Canis lupus familiaris: one gene and its partner. The protein of the gene in region 1 purifies or fractionates together with the protein of each later gene. This does not show direct contact. Links are inferred from orthologs where the notes say so. Each region holds a gene or a part of one and is shown in the gene's direction. Other genes may lie near its edges.

Region 1 (7,646 bases):
AATCTCTTCTTACCATCTCTACTACTACCTCCCTCCCTAAACCACCAGCATCTTTCCCCTGAATTATCACAAAAGCCACCAAACTGGTCTCCCTGTTCCCTTCCTTGTTTCTTGGAATCCATTTTCAACACAGCAGTCATAACAATCTTCTTAAAACACAAATCAGGTCACGTGTTTTCTCTGCTCAAAATCTCCAATGTGATTTCTACATACTGCAAAAGAGTGATCTCCCGAGATATAATAATAAGTGAAAAAAAGGAAGGTGAAGAAAAGTGTGTGTGGTATCTACCATTTGTCTGAGTAAGAGAAGCATAGAAATATATATGTATCTGTGTATATTTTTAAGTGAAAGGATAAACCATAAAAATTTTTTTCTAAGGTTTGTCTATAGGGAGAGGAGAGGAAGACAACAGAAGTGTCAGGGAAAGAATCTAGACTTCTCTAAATGTACTACCTATTTGGTAAATTTTGGCTTTGAAGCCATGCAACTGTTCCACAAAGCATTTTTTTTTAAATTTTATTTATTTATTCATGAGAGACACACAGAGAGACGCACAGACACAGGCAGAGGGAGGAGCAGGCTCCATGCAGGGAGCTCGACATGGGACTCAATCCCCGGTCTCCAGGACCACACCCTGGGCTGAAGGTGGAGCTAAACTGCTGAGCCACCTGGGCTGCCCACATAAAACATTTTTTTAAGCAACGCCTAAGAATCCAAAGCAAAAAGAAATAAACCTGACTATCAAATTAGTGGATCCCACAGAGAGGAACTACTGCAAGTCACGGTTTATTTATTTATTTTTAAGAAATCTCTACACCCAACATGGGGCTCAGCCTTACAACCCTGAGATCAAGAGTTGCGCGCTATACCAACTGAGCCAATCAGGTGCACCCCTCCCTAAATAACATTAAAGCAATGCAATTTAACTATACACACCTAGAGAGATATACTCTAAGGGCAAAAAGAATTATTTAAAAAAAAGCAGAAACTATTATCATTAAGCATATGTTTAGTAATCATTTTAGTAATGTTATTCTGAAACTATTTTATATATACAGTAGGGTAAAACAATTATGTTAATTTTGTTAATAAATTGTTATTGCCATATGTAATTATGTTAATGCCATTAGGCACCAAGATTTTCAGAAGAGATATGCATATAAAAATCAAAGTTAAGTAAAATCTGTGTAATCCTAAATTTGAGTTGAAAAATATTAATGTAAATGCATGGTGCATTTTCTCAAAAAATATGTGTGTATATCCAAATTTTTTAGTTCTGTTGACTAAAGAGGCTTACAAACAATAATCAACCCAGTAACAATGAATATTTATTTGTAGCATCCAGATTGTTTTCTCTAAAATATCGCTTTCCCACTTAAAGGAGGGCTTCTTGGAGAAATGACTGATTCCAAGTCATTCCAAATGACTTGGAATCAGTATATCTAGAAAAGTACTAGATGAATCTACAACATCTTGTCACACCAGAAATTTGAGTCACCCTGGGTAGTGGATTCTGCTTCTGCTGCTCAAAGTAGGGTGTTTGGTTCAGGACAATTCAAAGAGCTGTACACTTACGGTGTATGCATCTTTCTCTATGTGTCCCATACTACAACTAAAAATTTGTTATCTACTTTTTGTCGTGGAAGATGTCAAACGTGTTAGTATAATAAACATCCAATTCCCCATTATCCAGCTTCAACGGTGATCAGAAATGGCTATTCCCATTTCATCTATACTCCACCCACTTCCCTCTCTCCAATATTTGTAAGCAAATTTCATTTATCCTATCAGTTTGTCAAAGATTATGGTTAGGGGCTCAGTCCGTCAAACCTCTGCCTTCACCGCAGGTCATGGTCCCAGGTTCCTGGGATCTAGCCCAAGATCCAGCCCAGTGTGGGGCTCCCTGCTCAGGGAGAAACCTGCTTTTCTCTCTCCCCCAGTACCCACCCCCTATCTTGCTAGTTCTCTCTCTCAAATAAATAAATAGAATCTTTAAAAAAAAAAAAAAAAAGATTATGTCTTGGGACGCCTAGGTGGTTCAGCGGGTTGAGCATCTGCCTTTGGCTCAGGGCGTGATCCTGGAGACCCGGGATCGAGTCCCAAGTCCGGCTCCCTGCGTGGAGCCTGCTTCTCCCTCTGCCTGTGTCTCTGCCTCTCACTCCATGTCTCTCATGAATAAATAAATAAAATCTTAAAAAAAGATTATGTCTAATCCATAATCTACGTTAAACACATCGTCTAAACACGCACATACATAAAAGCATACATAATACACAAAAGAAGTGCTGTAAAGGCAACTTACCGAGGATCACACCAGACCTCCCCAGGACAGTGTTTTGGGGGTGGGGTGTGGAGGTAGGGGGCAGAGTTCAAAGAAAAGTTTCGAGTGTGAGTATTTTTGGAGCGTTCCCAAACTCTCCCTTCGACAGTCTCCCGATTTCCCATTGTTTTAAAACCCTGTCACCCTTTTATTTAACGTTGCCATTCCCAGGATACTCTTCTTGTGTTGGGGATGACTACACGGGGAATGAGACTGAGTGGGGAATAAAATAAAGCGGTTTAAAAGGCACCTCACCTCCGTTATTTTGGAAGAATAGGGAACGCCCTATTCCGTCACAGGGTACCAGCGATGCATCTGCCTTAACTGAAGCCTTAGTCTCATGATAACCGCGCGGTCGGCTTAGGACAGAATCGCACTCTCTTGTCCAAAGAACTACGAATCCCAGAAGGCCGTTCGGCCGAGGCGCCTGCGCATCGCGTGCTCCTTCCTTTCCCCTCCTCGTCCAGGGGAAAGACCCGCCCCGCGGTGCTGTCGCTCGCGCTGGAAGAAGCGGAAGAAGATGGCGCTCACCAGGTGGGTTGTTGATGGGGGTCCTCGATACGGAAGGGTCTGGGAGTACCCACGTTTTTTATTTCTCTGCCCACTGTCTCCGGGCGGTGACCTGGCGCGGGGCACAGAGCGACATGGGCTGGGACCGCGGCTAGGCCCTCCTGCAGGCCTCCGGGGCGACTAGGCCTCACGGAAGCTGGGGTCTTTCCTCAGCGGTTTCCCGGGTCGAGTTCGTCCCCTCACGAGGGCCGAGAGCCTTGGCGCGACAAATAGTTCTCCGGCCTCGGATGCCAAGGAGTCGCATCCCGGGGTTGTGGAGAGCGCTCCGAGCGTCCGGTCCGCGCCTCGGGCGGGCGCGGTGGGGATGTGGAGGGCAGTGGCTTATTTGTCTGGACGAAGTGAAGCGGCGGGAGCCGACGAGCCGGCTTTACCGCCGTGTGTCTGCCGAAGTCTCGTCTGTGCCCCGAAACCAGGATTCCTGAAGAAAAAAAAAAAAAAAAAAAAGATGTGAGGTGAGGGGCCCGGCACCGAACACAGATCTTTTTTTTTTTTTTTAATTGGCCACTGTCTACTAGTAATGAGCCGCTGCTCCGCACTTTTAACTTTGGACCTTAGAATTTCTTACGTAGATAGAACCACTTCAGATTTTTGCTGTTCTCGGTTGCCTTGGTAACCGCGTGTAAAGTGGTCCCCGCCTTTGGGGGGGGGGGGGGAGAGAGATTCCGAGGAGTTACATAACTCCTGCTAGTCCGCGACCTGCTGCCCCATCTGAGAAGAAAAACTTCCCGTATGCGGACGCAAGCAGGAAAAGTTGAGTTGTCAAAGATGCCTGTGAGGGAAATCGTTTTTGGGACATCGGCTTGAGCTCCCTAAACATGCTTGATTCTCCTCACGCTTCTTTTTCCTGGCTGATGGCAGTTATGGATCCCACAAAACGTTTTAATCAGAAAGTTTTTGGGGGGGAATTAATTTTGGGTGCCTTGCTCTCTCTATATCCTAGGGCCTGTGTGTATACACACACACATACACACAAAAAGCCACCTAACAGTCTTTGCAGGGAAGGTAGGGTCCAAGGCATACAGATACGGAAGAAAGAACAGCACAGAATGCTCACTTGTGTGGTAGTAACCTTAAGTGCAAAAAGAATTAGACTGAATAAGTTGGATGAACTAAGGAGTTCAATTTAGTAAGCAGCAAACATTTGAGTGCGCCTCCAGGTGGGAGGCACTGTGGCAAAGATTCCCAGGGTTGTGAGGGAAGGTATTTGTGGAAAAGGACACAGGGAAAATAACAGATCTTGTGGGTTATTGTGGGCTTAAAATTGCAGCGGCAGAATGCAGTCCTTAAATGGCTAGTCTTGGAGGCTACATAGTTTTCTGATTTCAGTGAGCTCTGGTTGATTTGATTGCAGGTGAAGTGTTACCTTATCTCCAAGACCTACCAAGGATTACTTAACGGCAGGGACTTAACATATTGATGTGTTGCAGTATTGGTGTCACCAGTTATTGTGACTAACTAAAGATTTGAGGTCATACTGATTTAGTCCTCTAAATGCAACTGTATTTGGGGTTATGTATCTAATAATATTACTTGCATTTAATATGCTTTATTTGGTAAAGGGGAAAGGGTAGACCAAGGTGTCTCAACAGTGGGCAGTCCCCGTGGCTCAGCGGTTTAGCACCGCTCAGCCCAGGGCGTGATCCTGGAGACTTGGGATCAAGTCCCATGTCCCGCTCCCTGCATGGAGCCTGCTTCTCCCTCTGCCTGTCTCTCTCTCTCTCTCTCTGTCTGTCTTGAATAAATAAAATCTTAAAAAAAATAAAAATAAAAGATGTCTCAACAGTGGCACTGTTGAGGTTTTGGACTGGATGATTCATTCTGGTGTGGGGCTGTCCTGTGTATAGTAGTAGGATGTTTAGCAGCATCTTTGGCCTCTATACATTAGATGCCAGAGGCACCTCCCTCCCCTTCACCCATTCCCTATCCCCTAAGTCTTGACAATCATGTCTCCAGACATTATCAAATACCTACATTGTAGTTATTTTGCCACCCAGTTGAGAACCACTGAGGTAGACTTTCTGCTTACATATACAGCCCACAGCCCACTATGTACCCCTTTCCCCTATCCTGCCACCACAGGAGTGTGCCTCTTGTGGGAATGTCATCTTTTACAAGGAAAAGCAAAATTAAGACCCTCTGGAAGGCTAGAGTATGTTCAGACCCTAATCCAGGCCAAGTTACTTGTTTACTGTATCGTCTGGACCCTTTGATTTGGCAGGCTGCCTGCCTTTGGATCATCTTAGTAATCAGTTCTTACAGCAGAAGGTAAAGAATAGAGAAAATAATAAGTATTTTGGCTTCTTTACACTATCTTTGTATCCTTCCTATGAATTGGGTATATGAGTTATACTGAATAGAATTATGGTAAAAGCCCAAAACTTTTGACTCCAGTCCTCCATCCATTCATTCATCATTCAACAAATACTTGTTGAAGATCTACCATGTGCCAGACACTGTGCTGGTTTTACAGTATTAAATCAGTGCTGGTTTTACAGTATTAAATCAGTCTGGCAAACTCCTTTATTTTCGAAGAGCTTACAGTCTAGGAAAGGCAAACTACTTATCTATCTGTATGTAAACAAATCAATAATGCAATATCAGGTAGTGATTAGGAATAAAATAAAGATAAAAGGACAGAGAATGACTCAAAATGTGGAGTGGGGTGGTGGTGTTTTGATTGAGATGGTCAGAAAACAGCTCTGGGGAGGTATAATTGAGCAGAGAAATCAATGCTAAGAAACAAGGACTAAAAGATCTAGGGTGGGGGCACCGGCTGTCTCAGTAGAGCATGAGACTTGATCTTGGGGTTGTAAATTCAAGCCCCATGTTGGATGTAGAAATTACTTAATAAATCTTTAAGAATGAATGAATGAGCGATGCCAGGGTGGCTCAGTGGTTGAGCATCTGCCTTTGGCTCACAGCATGATCCCAGTTGTGGGATCGAGTCCCACACCGGGCTCCCTGAGAGAAGCCTGCTTCTCCCTCTGCCTATGTCTCTGTGTCTCTCATGAATAAATAAATAAATAAAATATTTTTTTTTAAATTTTCTTAAGAGTTTACTGTAAAAGCACTGTAGGAAAGGATGTGCTGTGAGCTAGACAATGCCTAAAGAGTTAGGGATGAAAGAAGCTGAAAGCATGATTCCTGCAAGTTTCTGGTGAGAAAAAGAAAGGTAAATGAGTAGATAATTCTAAAACAGTAAGACAGATTATAATAGTGGTATATAGGGGGTCTTGTGGGAGCATGGTAGGTGCAACAAACCCAAATTGGGGGGAATTGTGGAACAGATCCAAATAATCAAGTATGTATTGAATAATATTTAGACACTGTGTGAAGGGGGTTCATCGATTTTCTCATTTAGTACTTAGAGCAACTCTGTGAGGTAGGTCATCTTTTGATCTGCCTCTACAGATGAGAAAACAGGTTCAGAGAGGTAGGTAACTTATCTGGGTTACTACCTTGCATAGGTAGGATTTGAACTCTGGGTTCTTATCCATCATAGTACCCAACTCTAGAATAGATCCCTCTTGTGTATAGCCCTCTGTATTTTTTCCTTCAGCTTTAATACAATTTGTGATTGTGGATTTGTATGAGTAATTGTCTCTCCTCTGCAAGACGTAACCGGTCTTTCTCAGTTTATAGTCTCACTGCCTACCTAGCACAGTACCTGCACCCAAGTGCTCAATAAATATTTTGAATAAATAAGTTCTGTTGCTTACTGAAATATGCTTACTAACCAAGAATTACAAAGAAACCTTAACTTTTCCATTAAATGTATTATTTATTACTGGAATCCTTTTGTGGTACTTTGGGATATCTCTGTAGTAACATTTATCACACTTCAAAGTTGCTAAGAATTGCTTGGTAGAAAGGCTGCTTTGATTAAAGAGTAACAAAGTACATATTTAGGATTTCTGCTTTGAATCTTTGACTTCCTAAGTTTTAAACTGCATTCTAAATTAGATACCTTTGGTAAAACACACTTAAATATGCAGTTTATATTTTCTTTCTTTTGTCCACCTCTTTGTTACATTCAGTGCTAATCCTTGTTTTTTTGTATTGATGCTAAAATAGTTAAAAGTAAGAAGCATAAGAGTAAAGCAGTTAAAAATAAGGAGTATGAAAGTAGGAAAGACACTAGTGCAACTGTATATTGGACAGTTGGCCACTGGTAACTGAGAATGTTTCCTTGTTATAAGAAAGGAAACGTAGAAGCATAAAAACTCAATAGTTTATTTATTATATGAAATACTTATTAATTTTTTATTTGGGCATCATTTGCCTGCATCCTAGTCAAACGTGTTTTACTGTATATCTCTGAGTACTTATTTCTTTCCAGACAAAATAAAATGACTGATATTTAATACTGCCATAAATCATTGACATGTTTGACCTGCTAAAGAGAAAAAAGTATTATGGTAAAATAGCCTCTGATGGCCAAATTGCAATGATCTAATGTGAGAATTTTTTACAATTCTGACTTTCATTATCTTTGCTTATAGCTTTTTACCTGCACCTACTCAGCTATCTCAGGACCAGCTTGAGGCTGAAGAAAAAGCAAGATCCCAGAGATCAAGACAGACCTCACTGGTCTCATCCCGAAGAGAACCTCCCCCATATGGGTACAGGAAAGGCTGGATACCTCGATTATTAGAGGTAAATAATTGTGCTAACACTTATTATAATACCCTTGTAAAATAAATTTAAACCATAGAACGTCTGCACATGAATGCCAATATGCTAGAAATCCTGGTG
Region 2 (6,058 bases), on another chromosome or scaffold:
AGGCTCCCGGTGCATGGAGCCTGCTTCTCCCTCTGCCTATGTCTCTGCCTCTCTCTCTCTCTCTCTGTGACTATCATAAATAAATAAAATCTTTAAAAAAAAAAAAAAAAAAAAGAATCAGACAGACCAGGTTCCAGTCACAGCGCTGTCACTCTGTGACCTTGGGCAAATGACCTCACCACTCTGAACCTCAATGCCCTCTTCTGTAAAATGGGCTAGTTAACCTGCCCATGGGGCGCCTGATTGAGGATTCAGCAGGATTCAGCAGGAATGCCCAGCGATTCCTGAACACACAGGAGTTCTGAGCAAATGCTAGCCATTTTTGTGATTACTGACCCGGGACTGACCCGCTCGGACGCAGCTGGGTGGGCATAGGGCTCCCGCGGGTCTCATCCCTTCCTCCCAGAAAATTGGGGGTCCAGGGCAGGAAGGCCCGGGCGTTGCTCGCTCGCCGTCTCCAGTGTCGCCGCGCCCCCTAGCGGCCGTCGGTTGCCATGTCAACGGCGGGCGGCTGGGGCCTGGGGAGGCGGCGGCGGGGGCCGTTCTCTCCTCCCAGGACCGGAGGCCGCTCCCTCGGCGCCTCCCGCCTTTCCCAGCGGAGGGGCACTCCGAGCCGGGGAGAGGGCTCTCCGCGGCAGCTAGCATGGGGGGGTAAACTGAGGCACGCGACAAAGCGCTCCGCAGCCAGGTGTCGAGCTCGGGGCCCCACCTCCGAAGGCGGAGGAGGGGCCGCGGGCGGTGACGCGCCGAGGGCGGCCGGCGGACAGCGGGCGGCGGCGGCGGCGGCGGCGGCGGCGGCGGCGGCGGCGGCGGCAGGTGCGGCCGCGGAGGGTGGGAGGGAGGAGGGAGGGGGGCGGGCGGAGGGGGAGGGGAGGGCGAGGCCAGGGCACCTCCCCCTTTATAACGCGCCCCCTCCCGGGCTCTCGGGCCACCTCCTCGTCGGCTCTTCCCATCTCGCCCCCTTGCCCGGCCGCCCCGGGCCCGGGCCCGGCCAGGGAGACCCCAGGCCGCGGCTCGGGGGCCACCCCCCCGCTCGCCGCCCCGCGCAGCCCGGCGGAGGCGGCGCCGTCGGAGGAGGAGGAGCAGGGCACTGCGGCTGGCCCCGGATCGGGCGCCAGAGCGGCAGCGGCTCCGGCAGCAGCGGCGGCCCGGGCCGATGCAGCGGGACGCACCGCCCCGAGCCCCAGCCCCGGCGCCCCGGCTCCCCGCGCCCCCGATCGGGGCAGCCGCCAACAGTGGCGGCGGCGGAGGCGGGGGCAGCGGCGGCGGCGGAGGCGCCTCTGCAGCTCCGGCTGCTCCTGGCCTCCCGGGAACTACAAGTCCCAGGGGGCCTGGCGGCGGGCGGCGGACGGAAGAGGCGGGGTCGGCGCCGCGAGGCCGGAAGTGGCCGTGGAGGCGGAAGTGGCGCGGCCGCGGAGGGGCCTGGAGCACGGCGGCGGGACCCGGAGCGGGAGCAGCGGCGGCGGCGGCGGCTGGGGGCGGCGGCGGCGGCGCGCTGGAGGCGGCCATGGCAAAGCAGTACGACTCGGTGGAGTGTCCCTTTTGTGATGAGGTGTCCAAATATGAGAAGCTCGCTAAGATCGGCCAAGGCACCTTCGGGTAAGGCTGCGCCCCCGGGGGACCAGGCGCTCTGGGCCTGCACCGCTCAAATCCGACGTCACGATGCCCAGGGCCGGGCCCGAGGTGGTCGGGAAGGCCATGAGCGCCAGACGTGTCCCCTGGTTTTGCTAGGCCGCGCTGCGGCCCGCCTGGGCCTGACCGAGCCGGCTGGCGGGGAGGAGCCTGAGGCCTGTGATGGGGGGCGGGGAGGGGTTACGGAGAGGAGCCAGTGGTGGGAGCGGGCTCTCCGAGAGACGCCTGAGTGAGGAGACTGAGGGGAGGAAGTAGAGGCTCGAAGCTCCGCAGATAGCGGGTGGCAAGGTAGGGCAGTGCCCTGGGTCCCCGGCCCAGCCCCGCCCGGGGAATCCCTTTTTTCTGCCCCCCTCCTCTGGTGGGGGAGGGGCGGGCCCTGCAGAAACGGCCTGATAAAACCTCTTGGGTCTCCCTCTCGGCCTGCAGGGAGGTATTTAAGGCAAAGCACCGTAAGACCGGCAAAAAGGTGGCTCTGAAGAAAGTGCTGATGGAGAACGAGAAGGAGGGGGTGAGTATGGGCCGGGTGGGCGGGCCTGCCAGCTCCCCTGGGCTCGGGGTTGGGTTTCCACCCTGCTTCTGCTAGGGCTCTCGTCTGGAGAACCTGTGTGTCTGTGTGTTGGGGGGGGGGGGGTAGTTAGGCAATTTCCGTATTCGGGGAATTTGGCTTCCAAATTGAATTTTTTAATTCAAATGTTTTAGAGCTTTTGATATCCCACTCTTAGGTAAATACGGTTGGGGCCAGGAGGGGGAGCTCATGCCTGCAGAGTGTGCCTTAGTTCCTGAAGTTAGGAAGCCTTTAAACACGGTTTCCTTAGCATTCATTTTGCATAAGGCGGAAAGAAATTCCACTTGGTGGTTTTAAGGGAGTGGCTGGTACTCAGTTGAAAAGGAGCAGTCCCCTCCCTTGCCTCATTGTAGCCCTAGTCCAGCTTCCCAGAGACCTGCTTAGCAAGGACATTTCCTTAAATAGCTGTTTGTTTCCACCTAGTAAGTTAAATACAGGTATAGAGCTAAAACTTAAATATTGAAGAAACTGTGGAACATTTATTTAGTGACGAGTAGTGAAGTGTGTAGGTATTAAGTCCCACTGTTTCAGTTCATTGTCTCAGAGCAACTCATTGAGGGGCACATACTATTTTTACACCCATTTTACAGCTAAGACATCTGAAATGATGTCAGAGCCCGGGACCTTACTCGTTTGCTGCACCTGTGCCCCTTGATCTGGACCACACGGTTGTTCATTGGTCTGTTCATTGGTCTATAGTTGACTCGCTCACCTCAGGCCCCCTCTTGCCTTTCTCCTACCCAGTTCCCCATTACGGCTTTGCGGGAAATCAAGATCCTCCAGCTTCTGAAACACGAGAATGTGGTCAACTTAATTGAGATCTGTCGAACCAAAGGTAGGTTCTTTGGCTCCTGCCCCCCTTTACAGATGGGGAAAATGAGGCTTACTGCCTAAGGCTTTGCAAAGTTGGAAGTGGACACACCTAAATTGCCTCTTCTTAACCCAGACAAACCGACTGTGACTGCTCTTGGGTCCTTCCATCGTAGCTGTTGCTCCTCGAGGGCCTGCCACAGCACCCAGCCCAGAGGAGGCACTCAGGAAATAGTTTTCCAGTGAAGGAAGGCACAGCCGAATATCCCAGTGTCCACGGGCTGGAGGGGTAGAAGCTGTGTGGGGAAATGAGTTGCACGTGGGGTTTTTTACTTTCTTTTTCTTACTCCTCCCCCATTCTTCCCTCCCAGCTTCCCCCTATAACCGCTGCAAAGGCAGTATATACCTAGTGTTTGACTTCTGCGAGCACGATCTTGCTGGGCTGCTGAGCAATGTCTTGGTCAAGTTCACACTGTCTGAGATCAAGAAGGTCATGCAGATGTTGCTCAACGGCCTCTACTATATCCACAGAAACAAGGTGGGGGTCAGCATGGGGTAAGAGAGACCCGGGCTGGGGTGGGCCTCGGCTCCCACCGCTGGGTGGGTGCGACTGAGGGTTCCCCTTGGAAACCTGATTGAGCCCTCTTGCGCTTCCTGCAGATCCTGCACAGGGACATGAAGGCAGCTAATGTGCTCATCACTCGCGATGGGGTTCTGAAGCTGGCCGACTTTGGGCTGGCCCGGGCCTTCAGCCTGGCCAAGAACAGCCAGCCCAATCGCTATACCAACCGTGTGGTGACGCTCTGGTACCGGCCTCCGGAGCTGTTGCTCGGTGAGGACTCCCGAGCGGGCGGAGTGGGGCAGGGGCTGGGCACTTACCCGGCCTCAGTCCCCCACTGCCAGGGCTTCTTGAGCCGCCGGCCCTGGGGCATTGCGTCTCAGGAGGCCCTCGGGCTCAAGGGGCCCTCCTGGTGCGCTCTTCTTCCCAGGGGAGCGGGACTACGGCCCCCCCATTGACCTGTGGGGTGCTGGGTGCATCATGGCCGAGATGTGGACCCGCAGCCCTATCATGCAGGGCAACACCGAGCAACACCAGCTTGCCCTCATCAGCCAGCTCTGTGGCTCCATCACCCCTGAGGTGCGTGGCCAGGCTGCCTGGGCCCCTGGTCCCCACAGGACGCAGAGATCCAGAAGTCCTCCTGGCAAGGGAGGAGTGGGGAGTGAAATAGCAGGAAAGTTCTGGAGAGGTGGCTGGTGGAGGGACAGGGGCTGCTCTTTAGAGTCGCATGGGCTATGCTTGAGTCTCACTTCCATCACAGTTCATGGCCCTGGGGAGGGCGTTTGCATCCCTCACCTCGGAGCTGAGTTTCTCTTCCGTGAAACAACTATGCCTGTATCAGGCTTGGTGGACATATTTCAGATGACCACGTAAAAGGGCCTGGCGCTTGGTGTGTGCCAGACATGTGGTCACTGCTGCTTCTACCTTGGAGAGGTCAAATTCACCCTCCATGGGTGGTCTGGGAGCATCTGAAAGGAGAAGCTGTAGTCCCTTCGGGTGCCTAACCAGGGGACAAGCCACACACCCCCTGAATTAAGACCGTCTTCTTCCCGTGCCTCCTGCCCAGGTATGGCCCAATGTGGACAAGTATGAGCTCTTTGAGAAGCTGGACCTGGTGAAGGGCCAGAAACGGAAGGTGAAGGACAGGCTGAAGGCCTATGTGCGTGACCCCTACGCGCTGGACCTCATCGACAAGTTGCTGGTGCTGGATCCTGCACAGCGCATCGACAGTGATGACGCCCTCAACCATGACTTCTTCTGGTCGGACCCCATGCCCTCGGATCTCAAGGGCATGCTCTCTACCCACCTGACGTCCATGTTCGAGTATCTGGCGCCGCCACGCCGGAAGGGCAGTCAAATCACCCAGCAATCCACCAACCAGAGCCGCAATCCTGCCACCACCAACCAGACGGAATTCGAGCGTGTCTTCTGAGGGCCGGCTGCCCACGCTTTTCATTAGGGCAGTTTCATTTCTTTTTCTGCTCTGTGACTTGCATTGTGGAGATTGTGGGGCATTTGAGTTTTCTCTAGTGCTTATTTCATTTACTCCCCACCCTGGGCACTGGGAATGCCCGCTGAGCGGACTGGAGCAAAGCTTTGGCTGAAAGTCCAGGAGGGCGCTGAGGCCCCTCGCCTTGTTCCCTGGCTTTCAAGATGATGCCCAAAGGTTCTCCGTTTACTTTCACGCAAGAATGGGATAGGAGGAGAGGCACACCCCACCAGTGACTTTCTGAGCATGATGGGAGGAAGGGACAGGTCCCTTGCCTGTTGCCAGCCCTCCTCTCGGGATGAGAAACTTGTGTGGGGGACAGAAGCAGCCTCAGGAATGGGCTACTCTTGGCCCAACCCTCAGAAGCCTGGGGTTGGCAAAAACTTGGTTTCTTCAATAGAGAATTTTATCGTGTTTCTTTTGTTCAGTTTGGAGACATTCCTGGACGCAGTTTGGTCAGTTATAATTAAAGTTGACTTTTTTTTTTTTTCCAGTAAGTGGCTATGTGCTGTGTTCTGTGTTCAGACCCCCCCAGCTCTTAACCCTGTAGCTGGCACATTGGGTCTAACCATCGAGATTGGATTTGTCAAGTCTTGACTCTTTTCTTCATCCCAGTTCATGTCCCCAGACATAATTGCAGAGTACTTTTGTCTGTTGGAGGGTTTGTGTGAGTGTGTGTGTACCTTCCAGAACACTGTTGTCATGCTCCTGCAAAAGCAGGTGCTGTGATGCTCTTTTGCTCTCCCTGTCCACTTGGTGTCCAAGGGAGAGTAAAGACACATGAGGCAGGATCTTAGTTCCCCAGAGAGAGGGAACTGGGGAGGGCCTGCTGTGAGCTGCATCTGCAATGGTGAATCCATGTCCCATGGCTGACAGAAGTGCTCAACCTTGACTCATGAGCACAGAAGGCTGCAGAAGGCTCTCGATCAAAGTGACAAGAGTTAGATCTGTAACTTGCAAAGGTCCTTCAGGCTGCTGAGTAGTTGGTGGCCAAGGGGAGGCA

What was found. The genes of interacting proteins can lie anywhere in the genome.
Region 2: the proteins of SNW1 (region 1) and CDK9 purify together in Homo sapiens (affinity purification with mass spectrometry; 4 studies listed by BioGRID and IntAct, with this or other methods). This does not show direct contact. The link is inferred for Canis lupus familiaris from reciprocal best matches to the Homo sapiens genes SNW1 and CDK9.

What each region holds. Positions count from the first base shown.
Region 1 is NC_049229.1:50,825,705-50,833,350, reverse strand, and holds the start of SNW1 (SNW domain-containing protein 1), read left to right. Parts: upstream 1-2,697; 5' UTR 2,698-2,841; coding exon 2,842-2,855; exon of another isoform or gene 2,856-3,327; intron 3,328-7,393; coding exon 7,394-7,547; intron 7,548-7,646. UniProt on the Homo sapiens protein: Involved in pre-mRNA splicing as component of the spliceosome. As a component of the minor spliceosome, involved in the splicing of U12-type introns in pre-mRNAs.
Region 2 is NC_049230.1:55,702,638-55,708,695, reverse strand, and holds CDK9 (cyclin-dependent kinase 9), read left to right. Parts: upstream 1-1,439; 5' UTR 1,440-1,507; coding exon 1,508-1,599; intron 1,600-2,058; coding exon 2,059-2,140; intron 2,141-2,941; coding exon 2,942-3,032; intron 3,033-3,378; coding exon 3,379-3,545; intron 3,546-3,667; coding exon 3,668-3,839; intron 3,840-3,996; coding exon 3,997-4,145; intron 4,146-4,632; coding exon 4,633-4,998; 3' UTR 4,999-5,552; downstream 5,553-6,058. UniProt on the Homo sapiens protein: Protein kinase involved in the regulation of transcription.